2 linked regions of the Oryzias latipes genome follow. The protein of the gene in region 1 interacts with the protein of each later gene in a biochemical or structural test. Links are inferred from orthologs where the notes say so. Each region holds a gene or a part of one and is shown on either strand. Other genes may lie near its edges.

Region 1 (5,060 bases):
GCCACAACAGCAGCTACAACCTTAAGCAATGCGGTTCGCATTCAGGCAGCGCCACAAGATACAAAAAGCGGAAACTCATACCTTGATTAGTAGACATGTTTACTAGCAGACCTTCAACCTGGATGTGCTGAACTTTTAAGACCCACTCCACTGAAAATAGTGTTTTTAATACGTTCTATCGGAGGTTTTCTGATGGAGGACATTACATAAATTAAGCTATTCAAACCTTGTGAATAAAGACAGGATTAAAAAAACCTGTTTCCTCGTCTGAGCTGGCATCTGGCTAAAAACTGTACCACTAGATAGCTTCAATATTGCTCAACATTTTTGTTGCACTGCTAATGTTAGCTTGGGGCTGTGAGGGACTTTAAGCTAGGGGGAGAACACGTAAACGGGGAGCTCTCAGTAATGGGGGGGGGGGGGGTTGCTCTGCATTAGCAATAGTCATATTTAAAAGACCAGTGAGAATGCTTTGAAAATAGATCAAAAGATGATCAAAGTGGGACTTTAACCACACCAGACACATTTGTGCCTGACCCCAAAAGCTACTTAGCAGGACACGTCAAATTGAACCACTTTTTCACTGTCATGCATACAGTTCATTTCCCGTCAAACTCGTCACATTCAGAACGTCTGAAGAAAATCAGATCAAATCTGAAGCTGGGGTACAAAAGGGAGACTGAATCTGACCGAGTACACTGGTTGTGTGCACACAGATTAGTGCAACAGTTAGATCTTTGCCAAGGTGAGAAAGAGATACCAGTCAAGATGCAGCACTAGGCTTACCCTACAGCATGGCATACTTTGCCGTCCACTCCTGAGCTAGTTTATTGTACCTAACAAAGTGAAATCCACGCACATGGATCAACCAAAAAAGGTGGGATCAGGGTCTTGTCACATGCAAAAGGACGGCTTTTACTCACTTCTGACCATCTGTTTTGTAGATCCGTGCAATCTCTGGCACTAATGGGTCATCGGGGTTTGGGTCACATAGGAGTGAGCAAATGGAGAGAAGAACTACAAGAGAAAAGTTTACGGAAACTCAGTTTGACATCGGAAGGCAAACTTCTTCCACAACATTAAAAGACATTAGTTAATTATTAAACGTCAAACTACAGCTTCCTACCTTTAGAAATAGTAAGTGCAGGAGACCACTGTGATCTGAGAATATCCAGACAGATACTGCCATTACTGTTAATATTTGGGTGGTAAATTCTTGTTGTGAATGCCACCTGAGGGAGAGACGCAACAAAAATCTGAGTTATGCAACGCAGATCCTGCGACAGAACAGGCTGGACCGGCAGATGATGTAAACAGGAAAAAAAAAGAATTACAGTTTCACTTTGTTCCGAAATCAAACGCTTTGTCTAAATCAAAAGGCAGCACCACATCCTGTCTTAACTCATTACTATGGAAACGCACAGAAGACACCCGTCATAGCAGCTCACCTTTGGGGGTTTGAAGGGGTAGTCTGTTGGAAAATGAATTGTCAGGAAGAAAACACCTCCCTGATATGGACTGTCACTCTGCAAGGAGAAGTTTAAACCGAGTTAAGGACTGACAGATCCAAGCATAAACATTTGCCGTTATATGAAGAAAGTGAGACCCCCCCCCCCACCACCATAACATGACGGGAAGGTCAAAATGTACTCACAGGTCCCATGATGGTAGCCTGCCAGTGAAACACTGCAAGGACAAAAATGAAGCATTATAAAGAAGCTTACAGGTCACTGTGACTGTCACAGCCTGCCAGGAACGCTGTTTCCTGTTCACGGCATCCACTAACATATGTGGTTTTCAGATTTACATCAGTGTGTTCGGATCACTTACTGTCATCTCCCACCGGGCCAGCAGAGCACTGAGCTGGGGGGTCACGAGCCAGGTCATTCAGTTCCTGTCAGGAGAGGAGCTTCAGTCAGTCATGAAGATACTAGAGTCTGACGAACGTCAACATCTCCAAACACCGAGTATGTGAGGAACAACGTCCTCCCTGGTTAAGGTTACCCCCATACCCCCTCCCCCGGACGGGCCCGCACAGCCCAGTTTTTATATCCACAGCAAACATACAGCCCGTCCATATAATGTTTATTTTTAGGTGACCGTCTATTTTGGAGCGGATGAGCCGGGCCCCACCCCGGCCTTTCCTCATAGAGGCTTCCAGACACCGGCAAGTTGCGGGCGGCCTGCCGGTTTCCGGGGCTGCCCGGTTCCCATCCGGGCCGGAGTTAACTCAGCCGGGCGCGCACACGCGCGACGAGGCTAATCGTGACGTGGGCCCTGGCCGGCTTGGTCAGGTGTGAATCACGGAGAACCGAACGCAAAAACAACGACCGAGACCGGTCGGCCCTGACAGACGTCAGCCCCAACAGAGAGGTTAGGTCGAAAATCGAAACTGCTAATGATTTAATGATAGCTGGCTGGCTGGCGAGCTGCGCGTCAGCCGGTTGTAACACATTTCTGACACACAAGTATCTGGACTGAAAACTATAACCGCCATCAAGCCGAGCAGAGCTCCACACCTGAACCTCGAAGCGACACTTCCTCGTTAGCCTTGACGGAGAATAGTTAGGGAGGCTAGCATGGAAAGCTAACACCGTTAGCACGCAGTTCCGCCGTTCTCTTACCTTGTGGATCCTTTTAAGGGCCATCCTCCCTCCGTGTTTGGGGTTTTCGTATTGTTGATACAGAAAGTGAGCACAAAGGCGGGCTGTGATGTTCCAGGATGACCGCTTCGATTAGATAATTCACGCTGGCTCAGCTCCACGGCCTGTCTGCTTAAGCTAGCTGATATGATAGCAGGTTAAAACTACGTATGCGGCCAAGACTTCACGAAAACTGGCTACGTTCCTCAGGAACTCCTTTCTTTTGGTTCGGTTCTGAAATATCCGTGTCCCCTCGGGAATTGACTAATTGCGAACGCCAGGTGGATAACCCCGGCCTGATATAATTGCCCCTCTTCAGGTTTCGGTCGATGCTGTTAGCTAACTAGCCGCTGTCCACATACAGATGAAGCTTTATGCCGTGAGGGCGGAGCCAGAATCCTGTGAGGGCGGAGTCAGTCAGTGGGAATGCGCCGTCATCCTGCTGTGAGGGCGTGGTCAGTTCGCCATGAGCGTGAATGAGAAAGCAGAATGAGAAATTATTGTCAACAATTTTATAACTTCCTGTTCATCCCTGCAGTTTTTTACACAAGACTTTTCTCACCTTTGTGTACAGAAATATAGAGTTTAAAATTTATATTTTTAGTGATTTATTGTTAACTATGTAGTTTCTAAAAGCAGCTGTTAAATAAAACTGATTATTAATAAATTAATTCCATTATTTTAACTGGATGACACTATAATCAGAACATCAAATTTTAAAATAAAGGGGCGGAGTCAAAATGGTTACGTCCTTCCTTATTGTAATGAGGATTGTGTGCTTCAGTGTGTTGTTTCATTTTGTGACTTTTCATCCGTTTGTCCCAGACAAATGCTCACCTGCATAAGTTCTCATTACTTCTTCAGGTCTTGCTTTTTTTATATTAGTTCCACTTGTAAATTTTCCTAGAAGTCCTAAATACACTTGGAAGATGAATTCTTACTTTTTCAGCTAAACTCCATGTCAGGAATGACATTCCAGAGTTTACTCTGAAAATATTCTTGAGCGTGAAAACTGTCACCTCTTTTGCTTTAGCAACATATTTCCAGATTAGTTGGGTAGAAACATTTGAACTTTGAAACATGCAGAGTAGAAAATGTCATTCTTTACTGTCCATTTCTGATCAGTTTACACATCATTCTCTTCTAAATATGAGCATCCAATTACAAAAGAGTCACCTATTTGGCTATAATTTTCTTCTGTGACACTACAAATTCAGATCTTTTCTATGGTTGTTTTTTATGGCTTTACCTCTTTCGTCTTCTAGATTTTTTCCATCCTGATTGTCATGTTCAACTTTTTTTCACCATGGATGTTTCAGAAATTGAAATGTGATTCAATAAACCTGGAAAGCTGAGTAGAGGAGGAGCATATGTGGGAAATCAGTCATTCAATTCCTTCAGATCTGTGCTGAAAAATACAAAAAATGTTGATGTGTTCAGATGCAGACCTAGATAATTTTATCTTTACTCTTTCTCTAATATCTTGGTCGTATATCTTTCAATTTCTGCTAGAAAAATTCACCTGCAGCCACTGTGTGTTATGTTTTAATAGGTTAAAAAAATAAACTTGTGGAAAAACATGAATAGTAGGTATGCTGTGTGGCACGTCAAATTAATTACCAAACACTCTATGTAAAATGACGTTGCTTTAAAATATGTTGTTTGTATAAAAAAGCAAATAAATGGCAATGATCTCCAACCGTCTTTATAGAACCCAGCATGGAGAGCATAAAAGCTCCTATCAAACAGTCTTTGAGACCAGACACCCATCTGGAAACATCTCCAGCATGTCCCAAATGAATTTGCTTGAAATTTGAATGTTTGTGTTTCTCGCAGCCGGTGGTGACGCAGAGACAAACAGGAACTGGCAGTTCCAGGAAACCGTAGCCAGTATTTCTGTCCTCAACTGTTTGTTGTTGGACTGAACGTCAAACTAAACTTCATCAAGCTTCTCTCCAGACATTTAGGCAGAAGCCCAGCTGGAGACTCAAGTAAAACAAAAATAAAGGCCCACAACAGAAAGAAAAGACTTTAATTTCACCTACCTTTTAACTTCTGGGTTGTTTCTGGTGCCAAACACAGCTGAGAAGGTCTGTAAAACCACACAGGATGTTTCTGAAATGATGTTTAAGGTTCTGTTGGTTTCCACCTGCAGCTCTGTTCAACTAGTTAACAAGCCAGGAGGCACACCAGATGATAAAAAATGACGTAAACATCGGGTTTTATCAGTTTTCACTGCATTTTAAGAACATTGCTAAATACAATTTCTACTGCATCATAAGAAAATTGTCAAACAAACAGAAAAATGTCACATTAATGGTGTGACGGAGGCTCCAAACCCCCAAACGTTATACTGTAGATCCAGACAGCTCCTCAGCATCAAATATGAAGAAAAGGTGAGTTTAAAAAGTCAATTTC
Region 2 (4,512 bases), on another chromosome or scaffold:
GTCAGCAATGAAATGGAAAAGAAATGCATTTAATTTACATGTACATAACCTGTTGAATGAATGTACGAATGCTTTTACTTGAGTGGAGCTACATTTCGTGGATTTTGTGCCACAGTTATGAACATTAAATATTTGTGAAAAAGTGATGTTTTAAGACTTTAATCTTGAGGGCATGTTGAAATCAAATTTCATTGGACAGACCATTGAGCCTACCATCACAAAAAAAACATCTGTGGATCTGACACGTTTCTTTAACTTATGAACGTTTTTTAAAAGGCAAAGAACTTTTTTTCCACCACGGATCTTTAAAATCAAGAGAAGTACAGAGTTTATTGATTTCATTCAAAACTCCATGAACATTTTGTCAAGACAGTAGAATACAGATTAGCTCAAAGACCCTTTTACAACATTGGAGTGGAATTTAAAGGACAATTGATTTGCCTGAATTGACACTATTCATTAACAACAAACCAGTACACCATGACAGAGGGCATCAACGCAGGCTCCATTTGAAAAAACAAAAAGAACAAATAAATAAATGTCACAGACATGAACTTATAAACAAATATGTCAAATAAACCACGAAGAACAGGGATTTAAAATAGAAAATGTTGGTGAAATAAATGTTCCCAGATGTTGGTACAAATGTTGCTTGCTGTCAAAATAAGGTTTTTTCTTGTGCGAAACAAATTAATAATGCACAACATCAAAATATGTCAAATGCAATTGTTACTCAAGTAAAAAAAAAAAACTGGGTAAGGCTAGCAGCTACTGATGGTCCTACTTATCAAAAACTTCATCCATCAGATGCATATTTTTAGGTGCAAAGTGATAAAACTGCTGCTTTTCTATAGAAATCTTAAAATGTTCAGGTGTTATCCATCGCCATTGACGTAGACTCGTCTTTTGTGAGGCAGTCAGAGCTTAAAGAACAATCATTAGAAGACACAATAATAACCAACATCTTTGGTGGTTTTGCCACTGCTTTAATGCTGAACCGTTCAAATACACAACAGCTGGGTTTGTTCCTTAACTGGAAAAATTCAGGGGAAAAAAAACAAAAATATGTGGTGACTGCCAACTATCGGTGTTTATTGTGTCAACAGCCCCGCTCACAGAGTCGTTTGGGCTCGAGCAGAATTTAAAATTAAAGTGAAAAATGGGCTGTGAGTGGGAGGATGTGAGCTTTCTGTAAACAGTTATATTTAGGCTTAGAGCCGCAAACAGAAAAAAAAAAAAAAAAAAAAAAGAAGTAAGGCATCGGCACAAGCGTTTCACCAGAGTGTAAAAAACAGAACGGGGAGAACATATGTACAAAAGGTACAACAGTAAGTGCTACTTGAGCAGCCTTTTGTGTTTCACTGGCTAGATGTGAGGCAAAAAGAACCTAAACCTTTCTCGCAGGGGTTGTGCTGGGGCTCAGAGCTCTGACCCGGTCCCACAACTTCCTGTGGGAAAACCCTTGGCCCTGGACTTGCATTCTTGGGGCATATCAGTTTATGTAAAAATTAAGGGGGGAATAAGGACACAGGAGGCTTGGAGATGACATCATGCAAGCGGTCAGGGCGCCTTCCCATCGGGGCTGAAGTAGTACCTGACAGGAGGACCTGGAAGATCCTCGTCTCCGTCTGCTTCCGGAGCAAAAGAGACGGTAAGGTCAACGTAGCGGCGGTCAACTGATGGCTTGATAAGCTTCTGCATCCTGTGAAAGTCCAAATAAACATGTATTTAGATAAAGCATCAAAATGATCAATAAAAGAAGGACACAAACTCAGACTAAAGCACTCACGTCAGTTTGAGCCTCTTTGAATGTCCGGGCATCACAGGCACATACAGCATCTTCACACCATGGACCACCATGGTAGGTTCAATCGTATACTTTTCCTGCAGGTATGTAAGAAAGTTGAGTTATTTGACTAATAAACAAGTCTGGCAAAACACAACAGTAGCCAAACCACTAAAGCTCCACAGTGAATGAACGTCTCACCCTGACTGCGTTCATGAAGTCAGACAGAGTGAAGTCCTCATGGCCAAATATGGTCCAACAATCCCAAATGGTGAAGGAGAGGTTGTTCCTGAAAAATGTCACACACTTGTCACTGCATGTAAAAAACGCAGGATGTGTGTATGTGAGAAGTAAGTCATGCAATTTACTTATGGCCCTCTTATGTAATGGCTCTGTATTATAACCCCCCCCCCATCTCTAACATCCCACTCCCTCCCTCTCCTTTCCTTTTACATTTATTATAAATAAAGCTTAGCCTCAAATACAAAAACGGGGTTTATACAAATATACACTCAGTCTGTCTGAAAATCCATAAACCCCTATTGTAACAGTCAAATCTGTCCAACACAAGAGGCCTTAGCTCTGATCTGCTCGCCCAGCTGTTGGACAGGACAAGTTTAAAAAATAAAATAAATTAAAATAAAATGTGGGATATCACAAGATTAACATTAAAATACTTTGCTAGACAGCACATTTCCAGTAGGTACTGGTGATCAATTTGATTTGTTTCTAGATACACTTCTCCTTTAAAAAAACGTTTTGTGTGCTTAATTAAAAGTAGCTTTTACTAAAATTAGTGATTAAAAATGAACTAAAGTGGAGCTTTCTGTAAAAAAAAAAGAAAAAAAATCAGGAAATCCTGTATCAAAAAGGTCAAAGTGCTTAAAGAAAGAGGAATTTATGGATTTGATGAATGGAAATTGAATTTTCTAAATGAAAACTGATTAAATACAATGTTTCTTAAACCCATCCCTAACTTTGAGTGCAGAGAATTTGTGCTAGGTGTATTTTAGTTACGTTTTGTAGGAAATACCTTTAAATACTCCTACCTGATGACCGTCCGTTTAACAGGAGCAGTCTCACTGAGCACCACGACTGGAATGGCCAAGTTGAAGAAACAGTTCTTGAAGGATTCAAACCCATAACCTCCAACAACCTTGACTAATTCCAGTGCAACCTTTGTAAAACAAAACAGCACAAAATGTAACTTCTATTTCTAAGTTGAAATCTTTTGAGTTTTTTGGAGAAAAACATTAAAGATAACCCAGTTCCTGATCTCACCAGTCCAGACACAGCAGCTGTTGCTGTGGCGATGGCGGGAATGATCTTTCCAGCGATGCGTTTAGTCTTCAGCCTGTCAGCCGGCTCTATGGAGTACATCCTGGCTCTGAGGGAGGACGCCGATGTGACAAAATCAATATGGCCGTTTCTGTCGTTGTCTTTTTCAAACTGGAGGGGGTTCATTCGTAACGACTCTGCAGGAGACGAGAACAAAAAAGGGTTTTTAAAAGCTGCAAGACAAGTCTGTGTGTTTAAGGCATTGTCAGGGTTTCGACATCAGCTTTAGATCTTAATTTGACTGGTCTGTTTCGGCTCTTTTTATATACCTGGTGTGACGCCGTCAGTAGAAATGGCCTCTTCCAGCTGTGCGATGGCTTCCCTCTCCTCTTCGCTGCTTAAAGGCATCTTCATCTGGTCGGGCTTCTTTGCAGTCTCATCGGTCACTATACTCTGTCAACAGCAGATTCCCAACCGTCAACATTTATAAAGCTGACAGAGTTACCAAAGACCAGATCAAGTAAGAATCTTACTTTCTCTAAGGGTCTGTACTCGGGGATCTTGACATCGGAGAGGATCTTTGACACGGCATCCTCGGAGAGATCCTTTCACAAGAAAGCCCAGTGAGTACAAGTGATCCTACCTTTGATTGACAGCAGAGACACGGGTGTCATAGGCCTACCTTTTCTGAGAAAGGGATGTTATAAATCTCAGCAAAAAGCCGGGCGGCGCTGACAATGAAAGTGAAGTGCCTGACGGGAACAGAACAGGGAGGTGTAAACCAAAAAGGAAGGGCAAAAACCGCACAAACTTCCAACTTCAGAAAACACTCACAAAGGGTCCTTTAGGTCAAACTCGGTTGGAGTTGGGGGTCTTTTTGGGGACTGCCAAAACAAACCTAGAGAGGCAGAAGAGAGCAGACACATTATCGCACAAAAAGCAATAATCTGATGTTTAAAGGCCTAATCCTATTAGGAATTTGGAAGTGATCAACAAAGAAAAAAAATACTTACTTCCATCTTTTAACCTTGTATCCAGAGGAAAGGAGTGCAACAGCTGTAGAGCCTAAAGAAACAAGAAACTGTGAGGCTTAACATCCAGTTGTGGCTTTCATTTTTCTTTAAATTTAAAGATTTAAATTTTAAGGTTGCTCACCTTTCTCTTAAAATACTTTTCAAATTTTAAACGGGCGATGATGACGCACTGTTCCCAGTGACTAGGCCTTCTGCTTAACAGCTTAACGACCTGGAAGGCCCCCTCCATACTTTCCCCCACCTGCATTCTCTGCACACACACAGTCAAATGAAATGTTTACAGCTGCTGTGTATTGAATGATTCCAAGCTATGTTTGTGTCTGGGGAGCTTTTACCTGCAGCACCGCTTCAGCTGAGACATGCGTCTGCCAGAAGGAGTTGTACATGGAGGGTTTGTGGAAAAAGGCACTCTCA

Evidence for each region. The genes of interacting proteins can lie anywhere in the genome.
Region 2: of the proteins of ubiquitin-conjugating enzyme E2 D2 (region 1) and uba6, one has a biochemical effect on the other in vitro, tested with the Homo sapiens proteins (7 studies listed by BioGRID, with this or other methods). The link is inferred for Oryzias latipes from reciprocal best matches to the Homo sapiens genes UBE2D2 and UBA6.

What each region holds. Positions count from the first base shown.
Region 1 is NC_019880.2:25,335,145-25,340,204, reverse strand, and holds the start of ubiquitin-conjugating enzyme E2 D2, read right to left. Parts: upstream 3,039-5,060; 5' UTR 2,649-3,038; coding exon 2,625-2,648; intron 1,895-2,624; coding exon 1,831-1,894; intron 1,687-1,830; coding exon 1,655-1,686; intron 1,527-1,654; coding exon 1,449-1,526; intron 1,233-1,448; coding exon 1,127-1,232; intron 1,018-1,126; coding exon 924-1,017; intron 837-923; coding exon 788-836; 3' UTR 787-787; intron 1-786.
Region 2 is NC_019859.2:12,649,731-12,654,242, reverse strand, and holds the end of uba6 (ubiquitin-like modifier-activating enzyme 6), read right to left. Parts: coding exon 4,434-4,512; intron 4,349-4,433; coding exon 4,220-4,348; intron 4,130-4,219; coding exon 4,078-4,129; intron 3,963-4,077; coding exon 3,899-3,962; intron 3,817-3,898; coding exon 3,747-3,816; intron 3,670-3,746; coding exon 3,598-3,669; intron 3,518-3,597; coding exon 3,394-3,517; intron 3,262-3,393; coding exon 3,068-3,261; intron 2,964-3,067; coding exon 2,836-2,963; intron 2,076-2,835; coding exon 1,988-2,075; intron 1,885-1,987; coding exon 1,790-1,884; intron 1,703-1,789; coding exon 1,561-1,702; 3' UTR 303-1,560; downstream 1-302. UniProt on the Homo sapiens protein: Activates ubiquitin by first adenylating its C-terminal glycine residue with ATP, and thereafter linking this residue to the side chain of a cysteine residue in E1, yielding a ubiquitin-E1 thioester and free AMP.